Caenorhabditis elegans: one gene and its partner. Each later gene encodes a partner of the first gene's protein in a complex. Each region holds a gene or a part of one and is shown in the gene's direction. Other genes may lie near its edges. The genes, in order: fem-3 and cul-4.

The links.
Region 2: fem-3 (region 1) and cul-4 share a complex: the UniProt entries of both Caenorhabditis elegans proteins name them as parts of the E3 ubiquitin-protein ligase complex.

What each region holds. Positions count from the first base shown.
Region 1 is NC_003282.8:9,102,117-9,110,270, forward strand, and holds fem-3 (Sex-determination protein fem-3), read left to right. Parts: upstream 1-2,849; 5' UTR 2,850-3,085; coding exon 3,086-3,156; intron 3,157-3,246; exon of another isoform or gene 3,247-3,254; coding exon 3,255-3,599; intron 3,600-3,644; coding exon 3,645-3,723; intron 3,724-4,094; coding exon 4,095-4,442; intron 4,443-4,524; coding exon 4,525-4,615; intron 4,616-4,995; coding exon 4,996-5,228; 3' UTR 5,229-5,491; downstream 5,492-8,154. Other genes in the region: C01F6.14 (Ovule protein), read right to left, coding at 1,781-2,005; aly-1 (Chromatin target of PRMT1 protein C-terminal domain-containing protein), read left to right, coding at 6,830-7,031, 7,081-7,550. UniProt on the Caenorhabditis elegans protein: Required for male development. In XO (male) animals, fem-3 directs male differentiation in all tissues. In XX (hermaphrodite) animals, it specifies the first 80 or so germ cells to be sperm. Negatively regulates male development when bound to tra-2.
Region 2 is NC_003280.10:7,298,680-7,308,012, forward strand, and holds cul-4 (Cullin-4), read left to right. Parts: upstream 1-3,421; 5' UTR 3,422-3,431; coding exon 3,432-3,533; intron 3,534-3,579; coding exon 3,580-3,687; intron 3,688-3,733; coding exon 3,734-3,812; intron 3,813-3,853; coding exon 3,854-3,901; intron 3,902-3,946; coding exon 3,947-4,050; intron 4,051-4,097; coding exon 4,098-4,289; intron 4,290-4,335; coding exon 4,336-4,668; intron 4,669-4,722; coding exon 4,723-5,083; intron 5,084-5,167; coding exon 5,168-5,278; intron 5,279-5,324; coding exon 5,325-5,543; intron 5,544-5,589; coding exon 5,590-6,098; intron 6,099-6,143; coding exon 6,144-6,391; intron 6,392-6,742; coding exon 6,743-6,851; 3' UTR 6,852-7,079; downstream 7,080-9,333. Other genes in the region: C30G12.1 (uncharacterized protein), read left to right, coding at 892-1,008, 1,057-1,157, 1,205-1,313, 1,520-1,656, 1,702-1,856, 1,913-2,164, 2,277-2,539, 2,584-2,811; brf-1 (B-related factor 1), read left to right, coding at 7,192-7,354, 7,400-7,692, 7,739-8,324, 8,364-8,457, 8,512-9,286, 9,332-9,333. UniProt on the Caenorhabditis elegans protein: Component of cullin-based E3 ubiquitin-protein ligase complexes which mediate the ubiquitination and subsequent proteasomal degradation of target proteins.

The sequences.
Region 1 (8,154 bases):
TTTAAATTCAAAATAAAAAGTAAAACTTTCTATATTCTATTTTCAATAGTGCCTATTTATGAGAGCAATTTAAAATTGCAAAATGAAACATTTCAGCGAGAAAATAGACATCGCGATAATTTTCAATATATTGGATACAGCTTAAATTGCTTAATCATACAAAAAATGCAAGTCTCCCCAATCAGCGGCGCTTTCAATTTTCACCTCGTGCATCAACTCGACAGCTTTTATATTGAAATTTCTCAACAAATGAGCCATGATGACCTTCTCTTCCATAAGTGCAAAACGTTGACCGATGCAATTACGGCTTCCAGCTGAGAATGGGATAAAGGCGAATGATTTTCGACCAATTGAGTTTTCAGGATGGAAACGATCCGGATCGAAAACATCAGGATCCTTCCATTGAGCAGGATCGCGGTGAACAAGGTACAGGTTGAGCAGAAAAGTGACTCCTTTTGGAATATTAAAGCCTCCAATTACTTGATCATCACTCAGTTCTCTCGTAATAATTAAAACAGATGGAAAGAGACGCAGAGCTTCTTTCAATGCACATTCAAGATATTTCATTCTGGAGAGATGTTCAATAGTCACATCTTCATCGTCGCCCATTACTTCATCCAGTTCCGCTTGAACTTTTCTCTGAACGTCGGGATGATTTCCCAGAAGATGAACTGCCCACATTAATCCTGTAGATGTTGTATCGTGACCCTCTAACATGAATGTGTTACCTTCTGCTTGAACATCTGTTTCGTCCATTTGTCCACTGTTTACCATTTCGAGAAGAAGATCCAGGAATGCGAGACGACCTTCCATCTTATAATCATTCTCCTGTAGTGCTTATTTTCTCTCGCCAATCAATTTCTTCGTAAAATCATGGAAAATATGAAGACATTTTTCATGCGTCCGTCCGTCCTCTGTTCTAAAAATACAAATTAATTGACCTTATTAATGATAAAACTACCGTACAAATTGTAAATAAATGAATTCCACATCAAAGGATTATTTGTTCGCTTTGAAATCAGTTTATTGATTGTGTGCACTGCCCATACATACTCGTTATTCTGAAAAAGTATTTAGAAATGTTGAGATTAGAGTTGTTTTCCCAAACCTCAGCGAGTTGAGCGCCGATAGCTATTCCCATGGAAGTTTCGCAGATGATATCAAGAGTACAAAGGGCGATAACGGAGAGAACATCAACTCTTTCACTGAAAATAAACATTTGAAATAAGTAATTATAAATTGAAATTCTCACTCTGCACCAAGGCAACACAATTTCTGAACCAAAATCTTCAATAAAAGAAAATCAAAAAAAGACGCCATTGTTCTTTCTGGCTCGTCAAAATACTGATTCCAAGCCATGGTTCAAGCAAAACGTATGCGAACCCTGTTCAGATGTTTCGTCGACGAGAAAATTGCTTCAACAAGGTCGCCAGAGTAGAGCATCAGGCATGGGAATGGACCAATCCACAGAAGACACATTCGTGGATCTGGATATAAATATCCCATTCCAATCACTTGGTTCATGAATCCCTCTGGATCTGGCTTGGTGATGAGTCCGTGACCGATGATTGGGTATGATCGTGGCTGATTGAGATGCTGAAAATTTATTGAAGTTATTCATAAATTTATTTTGAAATCAAACCTTCAAAGCTTGACGCATTCTCAAGTGTTTGTAGAGCAGCCAAGCGATCACCGTCGCCGAAGCCAGAAGTACAGCGAGGATGATAACCCCCATGCATATGATGAATAAAAAAATATTAAATAAAATAAATGTTTATTTTCATAAAAACTGGACAAATTTCATATATGGACTTATCGGAACAAAAAGAAAGAAATAATAATAAACCAAAAAATTTGAAAATCTATGATAAAACCTTTCAGATAACTTCTCCACAGTCGGTGATGACGCAAGCCTTGGAACCCTTCGTGTTTGATTTATTGAAGGCGATGCGGGAGACAACTTCGGTTCCAGCCAAAACTTTACCAAATGCCACGGTTTTTCCATTCATCGATTCATATGGAAGAATCGAGATGTTGAACAACGAGCTGTTATTGTCTTCTTTCAATCAATTTTCCTGAAAAAAAAAGCTGATTTCAGATGCGGATATTCATGAAATAAAAAAGCAGATGAATAAAAATAAATAAATTCCCATTTCAGTCTCTCAATTTAGAAATGCTGAAAAACTGACCATCGGCAATATTCCCGGATTTTGATGCATTTCAAGATACTTTTCATTTTTGAAATTCTTTTCGGCAAAAAACGTATGGGTCAAACATTAGCCAAATAAATATTCTGAAAAGTTAGTTTTTGATAGCATCTTTTAAGCTGGATTTTGTCAATTTATAAAACTTTTAGATGCCTAAACATCACTTACAAGATTGAAAGCCCAATGAAAAAAACTAATGTTCAAATGAGTTAGCAATGGAGCGCGTTTACGTTCTTTGCGCGAGCTTCGAATTTTTCTGCTTTTATTTTCAGAAAAAAACACTTTCTGAAGTTTTTCAGTTTTCCTTCAATTTGTTATATCTGGTTTCATGCATTTTTTAATCGTAAGAAAATTTCATATTCATTTTAGTTTATCGAAATAAGAATTACTGTTTTAAAAATTAAACAGAATTGAGAAAACCACAAACTAAGCGCCCTGTGTTATTTTTTAACCAAAATTTCTCAGATTTTAAAAGATATTCTGAATTGATGCGAAGTAATCGTGTTTCTCTAAATTATATTCTCAGTTATTCTAAAAATTCCCCTCCTCTTCTCACATGCTCTTTTCCTAATTCTCAATGCAATTTTTCACAATTTATATTATATTCACAACCAAAACTATATTACTAATCGAAAATTGCAGACGCTGTCCGAACAGTTGTAGGAGTGGTGTCGGGCGACGTCAACGTCTCGAAACAGAACCAGGACTGCGAACGCGGAGAATTTTGTCTGCACTCTCTCCGAAGAGAGTGCAGAGAAAACCAGAAACGGGTAGTAGACCACCCAGTCGGTTAACTACGGTGGATTGGAAGAAGTGACCAGCAAGAAATTTCAATGTAAAAATAAGAGAGATTTCCATTTATTTCAATTGTAACTGTAATGGAGGTGGATCCGGGTTCAGATGATGTAGAAGCTGACAGAGAAACGAGAGCTCAGAAACTAAAATTAAAGTAAGTTAAATTTTTTAATGTTTTTTTTTGTTGAAATTGTTTTAAATTCTTTAATTCACATCCAGTCAAACTAAAATGATCAAAAACTAGGTTTTCAGAAGAAATGTCAAATTCCGTGCACAAATGAGAAGATTCGACGAGTACTGTGGAGTGACTAATTTAACAGTAGATGATCTCAATTGGCCTTTAATATCTGGAATTCCTTTACAAAGACAACGATTGACAGGAGCTACGTATTATGATGATAGTCTTCTCGATCAAAATCCTTGGGATGAATTTTCAATTGATCGATTTCTTGAAATTACTTCAATTCAATTAATAACAGCCGGTGCTGGATATGAAAGGAATGATGAAATTACTCGATTCGTTTTTCAAAGAACAATGAAGACAATTGTAACTTATTGCAATTTTATGTATGATTTGGCAAGGCGGAACGGGAAAGTGTGAGGCGAATCTGAAATTTTATAAAATAAAATTTTAATTTTCAGTCAAATAACTCGATTCGAGTTGCAAGATTTGATTCATCGCGATGAATTTCGGTTTTACATGTATTTTCGACAATTTTTAGTGAGTTTCCTTGTTTTATCATAAATTAAAACAAGCTCTACTTACCCGATTTTTTTTTCGATTTTTGAACCAAAAAAGGGATATCCGACTCGACACGACAATTTTTAGTTAAATAAAAACGGGTGTGTGCCTTTAATAAGTACTGTAATTTTAAACTTTCGTCGCTGCGGAATTTTCTTAGTTTTTCGGAAAATTGTTTTAATTAAAAAACTAAAATTACGCAATTACCAAAAAAAAACAGGGATTTTAAGAAATCAGGAAAACATGTAAAAACCGGTGAAAATTTAACAAAAACAAAATCTTGAAATTCCAGTACTCTTCAACGGCGCATTTCCGTTTGTATTTTACTTTTTTTAAAATCCTAATTCCAGCCCAATCCGGATCCGAATTGTACGGCCTTTTCCAATCACTACACGTCTCTTCTTCATACACTCTATTTCAATATTCCGGGAATGCCACAGTTTTGGAACAATTCCCAAATGTATAATTACGCTGCTACCCGTGGTCAACGCCTTGTTCAAAATATCGCCGCTTTTTATCCACCCGAATATTTTTGGAACGAAGATGAATCCAAGTATCATACTACGTTTGTGGTTCCACGTGGCACAGAGTTCTCAAAGTTTTATGCTCGAAGATTTCATGAAGCACTTGGAATGCCACCACTGGAAAATGAGATTATTACGGTTTTGGATTGGCTTGCGAAGCTCTGCATTTTGGAAGTAAGCATTTTAAAAATGTTATTTATGTACTCATATATTAATTTAAAGCTTTTAAGCGTTAAAAACTATTTTACATTTGTAGATTGTATATCACACAACGATTTGGTGCGACATAACTGGATTTGGAGGGCTTCCACGTATTGAGCACTATCGTTTAGCCATGGAGAATGTTGGTAGGAATTTATTGTTAAAATAATTTAAAAGTATATACATGACATGTTTTTCAAAATATAAAACACAATTTTTTTAAAGCGAAACTTTAAAAAATCATCAAAAGTCGAATAGCGTAAAGGGAATTTTTGTTTTCATAGTCGCAAATTTCTAAATTCTACAACAGAAAGACAAAAAATCGACATAAAAAATCCATCGTTTGAAAACATGCTTTTTCGATTTTGGCATTTTTTTGTATTGAATTCAAACCCGGATGTTAGCAAAAATTTTTAAAAAATCACGTTTTCGGTATTACTAAATTCTCCACATTTAAAAAGAGTCCATTCTGAAACTTTTTCGATTAAAAAATTTCTTTCACAACTATGTTTTGTTCTAATTTCAGAAGACATCATATTCGACTTGGCAATTGATGATTTCTCAATTTCCCGTCTACAGTTACAAATTTCGCCGTTTGAAATCTCTCGCTACTCACCTCTAGATGTATCTGGTTATTATGAAACAATTAAAAGAAAAAAAGATATTGAAGAATATCAAAATCGTTTCTATGAAGTTCATTATTCTGATGATGTTCGGATTATGAATGTTTATGCTACTGATTGCTCCAGGAAACGATGATATCAATTGTTATAATGATTTGCTTTTAATTTTAATATTATTTCATTTGAAAGTCTAACTCTCTATATTTTACCCAGATTTCCTATTTAATATCACCGATTTGCCTTCTATCTCACTAACGCTTCTTGTGTCATTCACTTTCGAATCCTCTGGTTTACATTTTGAAAAATGTCATAATGGTACACTGCTAAAAAAAGCTGGTTCCATATCACTTTAATTTGTTTTAAGATTTGTTTAATTTAAAATAAAGGTATAGATAATATCGATTAAGCTGCTTACAATTGGTTAGACGCTACGCAAGTGCGCTCTGGTAGACAAACAATAGCATCTGTTGAGTGCGCAGTTGGTTTACACTCATTCAAATGTGTACGGGTGTGGCATTCGAAACATTTCGAATGAAACACTAAGAGTTCCAGTTGCTTTTACGAGTTTTTGTGTAATTTTCAGTTGATTTAACGTTTATTGCTCATTGCTAGAAGCCGAACTACAAAAAACCCACTATTTGGCAATTAGTCTACTACGACTCAATTGGTAAAATATTTCGAAAGTTATATTTTTCCAATATAACCATCAATTTCATAATGTAGCATCTTTCCTTCAATTTTTAATATTTTTTTGTCATTCTGAATAAAAAAGTACAAAAGTCATGCTGAAAAGGATACATATCGATACAATTCCACATGAATATAATTTGAATTTCTATTCAACTGATATACATTACACATATTCGCGTGTGCTAGAAAACTCGTATTTTCCCATTCGATACATCATCTGCCAACTTTCTTAACAATCCCAAGATCGTCACCCTTTCCTCCACAGCACCAGTCCCGCCTTTTTAACAACGATCTGTTTTTAATGGATGCTCGATCTATATGCATTAATTCATTCTATCATTCATTTACCGAGATGGTCATAACATATTTCATTTATTTATGGTTTTTTTTGCTTTTCCAATGTATTATAGTTATATGAAATTCTCTGTAGTTCTAAAGTAAGTCGCATTTTACCAATCTTTTGTATATATTTTTAAAGCTTTGCTAAACTAAGAAAAATTATACAGGCTAGATTTTTCTAAACTTTATAATTTACAATCTTTAAATTTTGATGTCCAAGTTCCTCTTGATAAGAATCGAGCACTTTATAAAGAAACTACGAATTTAATAATCAATCTTCAACAACTCCCCCAAATTGGTAATTTCTGTGTTTTATTTTTTGATGTCACCTACCTATTCTAATTAAAATAATACTATCTCTGCCAATTTGATAAACGACCTTTCCCATCTTCTCCGAAGTTCCAAGTAGCCATCTCCAGATACTCCATCCACCTAGTCTATCGATTGAAAAGTCTTCACTTCCAAACGCTGCGTTTACCTATTTCCCCATTCTCAGAGAATATCCCACACAGAGTCAATCATTCATTCCGCCGACTTGGTCTCTTTTCCATTTCATTATTTTAATTTATGTACAACAATAGTCAATTGACTATATTAGTTCTCTTATTGCCATTTGCTCACCCTCTTTCAATGTTACATCTCAGCTTTCTACATTCATTGCCTTCAATCAATTATTTATGAATCAAATTTCAGAGAACTTCTATCAAAATGGCTCGTGCTATTGCTATCGATGCTCCACTTTCCGCTGGAATCAGAAGAACAAAGAAAAGTCCAATCAAAAGAGCATCAGTTGGTGGAGTTAAAAAGAGATTCTCCACTGGAACTGCTGGACCATCAAGAAGACCAACTGCGCAACCAAGACGCCAAAGTGGAGGAATCAGAACAGTTGACAGATCTATTCCAGCAAATGGTAAGTTATAAATGCCATTTTGCTCTTAAGTTATGGTTAACATTTCCAGAAAACCGTGAAGTACGTATCAACTTGTCAAACTTGGCCCACACCGTTCACTCCGGGGACCTTCGTCAACTCTTCGCTGAATTCAAAATTCGAAACGTCTCCGTGAACTTCAACGAGCACGGAAAACCAGTAGGAACCGGAGATGTGACTCTCCCAAAACGTCACGCTGATCGTCTCATCCAAAAGTTTGCCGGAGTCTCACTCGACGGAAAGGAGATCAAATTCGCTATCATTGATTCAGCAAATATTGCAAACCGTGTCAAGTTCCCAGAAGCTCCAAGAAGAGCTCCATCAAATGGAAGACCAGCTCAAAGAGCACCAAAAAGGCAGAATGTTAAATCAGGAAAACCAACAGGAGGGGCTGGAGCTCAAAAGAAATTGAAGGCCAAGAAGCCAAAGAGAGAAGCTCAACCAAAGAAGACACTCGAAGAGTTGGATGCGGAGCTCGATGTGTATATGTCAAAAGCCTAATAATTTAATTTAATCCAAATTTTACTTGTTTGTTCTCATGTTTTCATAACTTATAATTTTGTACCTAATAAAAACATCAAAAGCTAGAACACCCGTGTTTCGTGTATTTAAAAAGAAATCATATTGAACGGCGAACAAACGGTAAAGCTAAAATCTCCTCGTAAACAAAGTAATTTCATTATTATATTTGTTCAAAATTATTTTTAAAAAACATTAAAATGAATCAAACCAAAAAAGGAGGTGTCGATAGAAATATATTAGTTCCCATATCATCCCTTCGTCAGTCAAATGGAAATGCCCATTTCAATCGTTTTTAGGCGGTACGTGATCAAACACACACTGAAAAGAAGTGCCAATTAGGGATGCGAACGTTCATTTATTTATCTCTTTTGTCATTTGATGGTGCCCATAAAACTGTTTTCTTTCCGTTTCAAATGTGATTATTATGCTTCTTCTTCATTGCTTACTCTTGTTCTTTCATTTAAAAACTACAAATTTATAGTGAAATCATTCAAATTGTTTGCAAAAACAGAGCTCTGTCTCTCTATTTTTTCTTTGCAAATTTATTTTCATCATCCTGTTCCACTCTTTCTTCGTTTCCGCC
Region 2 (9,333 bases), on another chromosome or scaffold:
TGTCGGGTACTGTATTTTCTGAAAACCCATGTGATTCGAGTTCGCGGCGAGACCTAATTCTTCAGGGACCTAATTTTATACGAATCCCAAGCTGACCTAGTGAAGACCCTGTGTAGATGTAACAGTAAATGTAAACATAGCATTTATATTAATCTCCGTTTTTCTGGAGATCAAATGCTAAGTAGATCAATTGAATATACTTGTGCTCTCAGAGATACCTGCTCCAAAGTCGATATTTCCTCACTCTCAACTCTTCAGAACTGGCAGAAAGTGTATGAATGAGTGTTGTTATGCATAGTATTGAATATTCTAAATTTATTTTCCATGTGCTTTGTGCTTAACATAGCTTGACCGTTTTGATTCTTTCTTTACAATGAAATGGATATACATCTTCATCTTTTTATTCTCGGGAGTCGAATGACCGTTTCAAAAACTTCAAAGTGTGTAGAGCATGCAAAAGCAAACAACGTGAAGATTCTCGACAAATTTAGTTTTTTTTTTTCTTCCCGACCGTCCGTTCGCCGGCCATCGTATCAAATTTCCTCCCACCTCTATTTCATTGTCATCTCCATTCCAACCCCTTTCTGACCTTTAACGAGAATTAGATTTTGTCTGTTTGTGTATATTTAATTTTGGAAAACAAAGCCTCACATCGAAAAAGGTTGCAGGCTGGCCGATCGTACGAGCGTATTGTGTGTGTGTACGAACATAGAGCGTCCGATTGCATAAGGTTCGTGTAAAGCAGCTTCCGGCCGTGGGAACAACACCATAGTTTGTGTGCCGAGAAGCGACGCCCCTTGTCTCCTCACAGTCCCATCTTTGTTCTTGCTTCGTAACTTGAACTCATCACGACCAAATAGAGTCTTTGACTAGGTGTACCCTTTGGTTGCCATGGTTAAAAGTCTTCATTATTTTATATTACCTTTAATTGGTAATGCCCTAATTCTAAATACACCACCTGAATATCAACCTGGATATGGTTATGTTGGACCAGCATGTGCTGTATTTGTAAGCATTCGTAGAAAACAATTTGAAAATATCTTCCAAATCTTTCAGGACAGTACCCTATTCCTTCATGGTGTTTCCAAGCGAAAGTTGAATGATCACGAACTACACATATTTAGTTCGTATCAGCATGATCTAAGTGCATTCAAAGAGTTTGTCATTCTATTCTCGATTGTTTTGAAAATTAAGCGTTTTACAGTTCATCATCTTCATTTGATTCTTTCGAAGCCTCGTTTCCTACAATTCCAAAATTCTGTGGAGGGTATGATGATTCTATTGAAGTGGTGTTGGATTCTTGTATTGTTCGAGTAAGTTTTTTTTTCCAATTGTGTATAGTTAGAACCATCTGGTTTTAATGTAAATCTTCAATATTACGGTATCAGGGGTCGACACGATCGGAAATTGATAGGTCAAAGACGCTTCGAGACCAATTACCGTATTCTTTTGTCAGAATCTATGAAATAGTCACTTCACTTTTTAATTACTACAATTAACAAATACGGTTTTTTTCTAGAATAATCACGTCTACGTTGGAGATCATCTTATCCGACCATTAACAAACTTTGAGAAACAGAAAATACAGTTAGTTAAAATGAGACGAATGTATGGAGAATCAAAAAGGAAACGTAGCAAAAGAAGCTCGAAACCATTGTAAGTTCATCCAATATTCTGCATTTTCAAATAATCTTGTTTCAGGCCTGGCACACGACCACAAAGAGATTTTAGTGAAATGCTTCACAAACTTTTGAATATTAACTCTACAGTAACTTCTCGATTCCTTCCAGTAGTTAGTCAAAGTCCTCTCTTTGCAATGGAAGGTCCGTGGCAGAATTTGTTTGAACTCGGGAAAGGTGATTTCCTTTCTTCGAGATATTTGTTATGAAAATTAAACATTTCATTATTCCAGATAAGGATATGATTGAATTATTAGCTGCTTCACAATTTAAACCCCAATTACCACCCGTTGCATCAGTTCCAGTAGCTCCAGTCATTGATATTACGAAGATTGATTCTCCGTATAGAGCCACTTTTACAACAATGAAACCAAGAAAATCACAGAAACCAGAAAAAAAGAAAGAAGTTTTCAATGTTTTCACTACTAAAACTAATCCTCAAATTACCACGACTACTATGACAACCACAACAAGAACATCCACAGGTAACATCTACAAGACAACTATTTGAAAAATTCAGTATATACAACATTTTCAAAATTGCAATTTATAATTAATAAATTAAGTTAACATCCGATTAAAGCTGTCAATTTTCAGCCATTCCAACAACTACCACAACTCCAAGACAAATATCACTTCAAACGATTCCATTTTCAACCACAACTAGACAACCAAATTTTGATAAAACCAAGACTCCTGCAACAATGCCATCAGCTTCTTCTTCTTCACTTTCAAGTATTCAAACAGTTGTTGATCCAATTATCTTGAAGTTAATTTCAAAGGCATTGGAAAAAAATGAAATGATTGATGAATATTCATTGAAACAGGCTCTATCGATGAGAAATGTTGCAACTACTACTGTAGGTTTAAATCTTTAATACATCTGAATTATCAATTATTTCAGACTCCTCTTCCACTTCGTTTCATTCTTCCAACACCTGCAGCCCCAAATCCATTTCTACCGTCTACAAGAGTTGGAGGTCTTTCTCATAATCATCTATTCATTCCCCATCAACCGTTTACTACTCTTGTTTCGACCGATTCTAGATATTCTGCACCGAACCCTCTTTCTCATCGACTTCCAAACGAGATTTGCCGAGTTCATATGAATTCAAATCCTTTCCATTTTTAGTTTTATTACTCTACCAAATAATTAAACAGACTTTTCCTATCGGGTCCCCTAATTTTCTTTCATTTTTCAGGCATCTCGGTTGTTTTTTTCAAAGTATTTTGACCTAATTTTCCATGTTGAAATTAATAAAATATTTATTAAATGAACACAAACACAGATGTTGGAATTGTCTTCTTCTGGTCAAGTACTGGATATACTCTCTTTTTTTGATAATGCTGAATTGATAAATTTTTGGTTCCAATGAAAGGATCAAACATTGTAGAAAATCTTTACAAAAATAATTGTAGACCTACTATTATAATAAATACAGTTTTATGCAGAGTCTGCGTCTCTCAATATGAACAGCCTCTCAAGCACTAGAGATGCGCCAGCACGCCGCGCGTCAGCAAACGTCTTTGGCCTCAGTTTGCCTTCAAAATAATGCATGAGTTCGGCATTTCAAATATTATTTAAGCCAAATTGTTTTTCTAAACTGCGGAAATCTAATTTTGAGAAAAGGAAATTTTAAATCCAATCGTTTTATTTTAATCTTAAAATATCTTTCTATATAAAACCGCCAACCGTCCTGTTTGTTTCTTCAGAGATACTAATAATCTAACATTTTCAACAGAACAAATTGGATGACATCTGGAGCACCACCGACTATTTCAACAGAAAAAAGTCGAAGTAAACAGCTTCGAAAATCGTCAAAGCGCACAGCCAGCACCGTTGAAGGTACAGAGGTAGTAATTAAATAATATTTTCAATGTGAGAAAAAATAAATTGCAGGCTAAGCAAATGCGCGGCGACACTGAAAATCGTTCCGACGGAGAAATGGACGATGTTTCAACAAGCAGCGAAATCAGACATGGAAATGGATTTATTGAGAATTTCAGAGTGAGTTATTAATTTATTAAAATGTTCATCGGTGGGAAGTTTTCAGAGTCAAACCGGCAATTCTTCACGCACAACCGCAACAAATGAACGCATCAAAAAGAAACTTGTGATAAAGAACTTTAAAGGTAATATTTGTAAAGTTTTCATTAGTTATTTTGATTTCCAGCGAACGCGAATCAAAATGATGTTGCGATGGGGGACACCAATATTGATAGTAAGTTTATTCTTCGATAGGTGTTATATTTTGTTTGATATCCAGGTACAGACGGATCAGTTGGTAGAGATTGGGCTGTTCTTTCGGATAATGTTTTCGCTATTCTTGAAGATAGGAAAACAGTAACCACTTTGGAAGGCTTATTCAGCGTAAGTTTTTGATTGTTTAAAACATTGTAAAAACTGAGCGTTTTCAGAAGGTCAGATCTGTGTGCGATAAAAATCAATCAAAAGTACTTTACGATCGTCTCGTTGCAATTGTTGTTCAGTTTGCAAAATCATTAAAGGAGTCGTTAAATGCGGTTGAGCAAGTTCCTCTTGCAGAAGACAATTGTGAGCAATATTTGGAAAAGTTTGGGCAGATCTGGCAAGCATATCCAGTTAAAATCGTAAGTGAAGAGTTTTATTTAAAAAAAAACAATAGATTTAACTCAGAATCTCATCAGGAATATTTTTCTTCATCTGGACCGAATTGCGCTCGGCGCTACAGACACAGAAATTCTCCCTTTGTGGGAATGTTTCATGCAAATATTTCAAAAAACATTCTTCCCGAACATTTTCAAGGAATTCAAAGCAACAAAACTGTTCAATGCTCTCTATATGGCGATGCAGAAAATTATGCAGAGGTATCCAGTGGACAGTCCTCTCAGAAGTCTTGTAGATATGCTTCAAACAGTTCATGTGTCTGAAGAATTTGCAAAATTCCTTATTAGCCAACTTCGAGAGCACTATAACAATGAGAGAATCGATAAAGTTCCAAAAATGAATGTAGGTTTTTATTTTCATTCTTTGAAAAATCTCGATTACTTATATTTATTTTAGTGCAACGATTACATGGAATACTGTGAAGACCAGATAAATCGATATTCGCAATTAGTGAAAGTGAACTTTGATGAACCGTCGGCTCTAAAAGATGTTCAGGCAACAGTGACAAACTGTCTCATTCAACAAGCAATTCCTGAAATTCTCACACATGATTTTGACGATCTTATCGATTCTGATAACATTTCGGATATCGGCCGAATGTTTAATTTGTGCCGTCAATGCGTTGGTGGAGAGGATGAAGTACGTACACAATTCTCAAAGTATTTGAAAAAACGCGGAGAGAAATTGATTGCTACGTGTCCTGATGAAGATCTTGTTTCTGAGCTACTTGCTTTCAAGAAGAAAGTTGATTTTATCAGTAAGTATTTCAAAGTTCTCTGTTATTTTTATTATTATCAAAAATTTTAAATTCCTCATACGTGGATCATTAATCATATTTCAGTGACTGGAAGCTTCAAATCCGCAAATGATCCAGTAAAAATGAGACAATGTTTGTCAGATGCCTTTGAATCTTTTGTAAATAAACAAGTCGATCGATCTGCAGAACTTATTTGTAAGTCATAATTCGAAATTTCTATATTATAATTTCTATTTTTCAGCAAAGCACTTCCACACACTTCTTCACAGTAGCAATAAAAATGTATCAGACGACACAACTCTCGATCAAATGGTAGATGAAGCTATTGTGTTGTTCCGATATCTTCGTGGAAAAGACGTTTTTGAAGCATATTATAAAAGAGGTCTTGCTAAGCGGCTTTTCCTTGAAAGAAGTGCATCTGTTGATGCTGAAAAGATGGTTTTATGCAAGTTAAAGACAGGTATTTAATACTTTTTAGTTTTCAAATTAATAACTTTTTGATTTAGAGTGTGGCTCGGCGTTCACATACAAATTGGAAGGAATGTTCAAAGATATGGATGCATCTGAAAATTATGGAAGATTATTCAACCAATATCTAGAACATATGAACAAAGAAAAAGCGAATTTCACTGCTCGAGTCATAACTCCAGAATATTGGCCAACCTATGACACATATGAAATTAATATTCCAAAAGAGATGAGAGATACACTTACCGATTATCAAGATTTTTACCGTGTTCAACATGGAAATCGGAATGTTAAATGGCATCACGGACTGGCTTCTGCGGTTATTTCTGCTTCATTCAGGCCTGGATGTAAGAAAGAATTAATTGCAACAATGTATCAAACTGTCATTCTTCTTCTTTTCAACAAATGTGAGACATGGACTGTCGCTGAAATTGTTGAGCACACTAAGATTCTGGAAATTGAAGTCGTCAAAAATGTGCTTGCACTTCTTGGTGGACGTGATAAGCCTAAGGTTTTGCAGAGAGTCGAAGGAGGTGGATCCGAAAAGGTAACTAACTTTTCATTCAACTCAACTAAAAATGTCTTTGTTTAGAAGGAAGGTACTGTGGAAAATTTGAAAAACGAGAAATTTGTTGTAAATTCTAAATTCACGGAGAAGCGCTGCCGAGTTAGGATTGCTCAGGTCAATATAAAGACAGCTGTGGAAGAGACGAAGGAAGTGAAAGAAGAAGTGAATTCTGATCGACAATACAAAATTGACGCTGCTGTTGTAAGAATTATGAAGGCTCGAAAGCAGCTAAACCATCAAACTCTAATGACGGAGTTATTGCAACAATTGAGGTAAGTTTTCAGAAAAAAAACTTTATTTTTAAATTCAAAAAATTCAATCAATTTTTTATTCGAGAAATAGTAATATCAATATAAGCCGAAAAATAAAAACTGGTTTTGAAATTTTTTATGAAAATATTGAATGTAAAATATAAATTGGCACACAACTACAAACCAAAATCAAAGGAAATGTAAAAATTGAGAACTTTTTCAATACTCTCAAAAACATAGCATTTAGTAAATTAATATGAATTTTGACATTTTGAAGCGATTTCCTTGATAAAAATTTGTCTAAATTTTGCTAAATTTGCTGCTAAGGTAAAATAAATGTTAATTATTCTAAATGAGTTTTTTTTGTTTCAGATTCCCCGTGAGCACCGCCGATATCAAGAAACGCCTGGAATCACTCATCGAACGTGAATATATATCGAGGGATCCTGAAGAGGCATCTAGCTATAATTATGTTGCGTAATACATAATATCATTTTTATTCCTTTTTCAAATTCAATCCTTATCCGTGCCACTGGTCTCTTCTCATCTCGTTTGCCCTGTTATTGAACAGTTTTCTTCCTTTATTTGTGCGAGTTTCGTCTTTTTTAGAGAAAAATGTACTAAATGTTAGTTTCTGTTTTTTCAATTATGTTTTTCTCTTCACCTAACATGTGCATCCAAAATACTGTTGAATACATGGTTATTTGATTGAATTCTTTATACGAAATTACTCGAATCGGTTGAAATATCCGTGATCTTACATTTTTTTGGTTTTTTTTTTCTTAATCAATTTTCAAAGTTTCTCGTTAAGCAGACACAAAATGGTTCGAACCTGCTCGAACTGCGGAAGTTCTGAAATTGATGAGGATGCTGCTAGAGGAGATGCTACGTGCACTGCGTGCGGAACTGTGCTCGAAGAATCCATTGTCGTAACTGAAAATCAATTTCAAGAGCGAGCTGGTGGATCAGGTCACACTCTAGTCGGTATGTGGTAGGAATGTTAAAAGTATTTACAAAATGTTATTTCAGGTCAATTTGTGTCCTCAGAGCGAGCTGCAGCTAACAATTTCAATGGAATGGGATCTCAAGAATCTCGAGAAATGACGTATGCAAAAGGCCGGAAAGTTATTGATGAGCTCGGCAGTCAGTTACGAATAAATTCACATTGTATGAACACTGCATTCAATTTTTACAAAATGTGCGTATCTCGTAACCTGACACGTGGACGTAATAGATCATCCGTTGTTGCTGTTTGCATGTATATAACTTGTCGACTAGAAAACACTGCTCATTTGTTGCTCGATTTCAGTGATGTCACTCAGGTATGACATTTCGGTAAACTTTTGTAATTAATAAGTGCAATTTCAGATTAATGTCTTCGATTTGGGAAGAAACTTGAACTACCTTTCTCGTTCATTGCGTATCAATCTCCCATCCACGGATCCTTGTCTTTACATTATGCGATTCGCATGTGTTTTGGATTTTGGCGACAAACAGAAAGAAGTTGTGAATTTGGCGACAAGACTAGTACAAAGAATGAAAAGAGATTGGATGTCTACTGGAAGAAGACCAACTGGAATCTGTGGAGCTGCTCTTTTAATTGCTGCAAGATCTCTTAATTTCAATCGATCCATTAATGATATCGTTCGTGTTGTACACATCAGTGAAGGCGTAATCAGAAAACGTCTCGATGAATTCAGTCAAACCCCTTCGGGAAGTCTTACGATTGATGAGTTTTCAACTGTTGATCTAGAACATAGTGAAGATCCACCAGCATATCGAGAATCACGACGGAAAGCACGTGAGGATCAATTGAGAAAAGAGGCTGAGCAAGCAGAATCAATGAAAGAACAACTAGGAGAAATGGAAGCTCACGTTGAAGCTGCACTCGATAAGAAGAGGAAGGAAAAGTTTTCAAAAAGTCCATATGCACGAATGATTAGTGAAAATCTAGGTAAGGAAAATGATAAAATGCAGACGCTTACTGAAACAGTTGTGGAGAGTTCAGGGTTGGAAAAAGGAGCTGATGAAATGGTACGAAATGAAATTATCAATACAGTTTTCAACGCTGCTGAAGAAGATCCTTGGTGAGTTTTCTTTGTATTTTTAACTCTAGGTTTGTTTAAATATTGTAATTACAGCACCTCGAACTCATTGGAAAAATATGATAAGTATCGTCCTTCGCTGGAATCTCTTGGAATAAAAAGAACATCGGAGCCAGAACCCGAACCCGTCCCACATCCAATAGTTAATGCCGATTTAGAAGAAGACATCTCAGATTCAGAAATCGATTCGTACATTCTGACGGAAAGTGAAGTAGCCATCAAAACAGATTATTGGATGAAAGCAAATGGAGAAGCAATGAAAGAGATTGAAGAGAAGAAACGCGAACGTGAATTGAATGGTGGAGTAAAGAAGAAGAAACCGAGATCCAATCGAAAAACTGACACCACGTCTACATCTGTTGCTAGTGCCGTTGAGAAAGTTATTGCGGAGAAGAAATTATCGAATAAAGTGAACTACGAGATGTTAAAAGATTTGGAGACGATGGCGACTGGTATCAAGAGAGATATACGTGAATCAACTCCGGCTCCAGTCACTCCAATTTCAATCAAAGTTGATTCGTCTGACGTCACTCCCGATACCTTATCTAAAAGTGAAAAAATAGCGAGAGGTAAAAATATACGATCTCAAGCCAGCGAATCGACAATCCAAAAGTTGAGAAGTATTTTTGATCTGACAGAAGAATGCTCTGAAACTAGCAAAAACTCATCACCGAAGGTTAATTTGAAAGTTGAATCTGCTAGTCCATCAACTTCTGAAGTATCTTCAATCGAACATAAACCGTTTGTACCACCCGCTAGATCCAGATATGCCAAAGTGAAGCCGATTATTGGAGCTAAAAAGCTTGCAGCTGTGAGTTCAACTGTAGCCCATTTAGATTTTATTTTAAAATTTCAGCT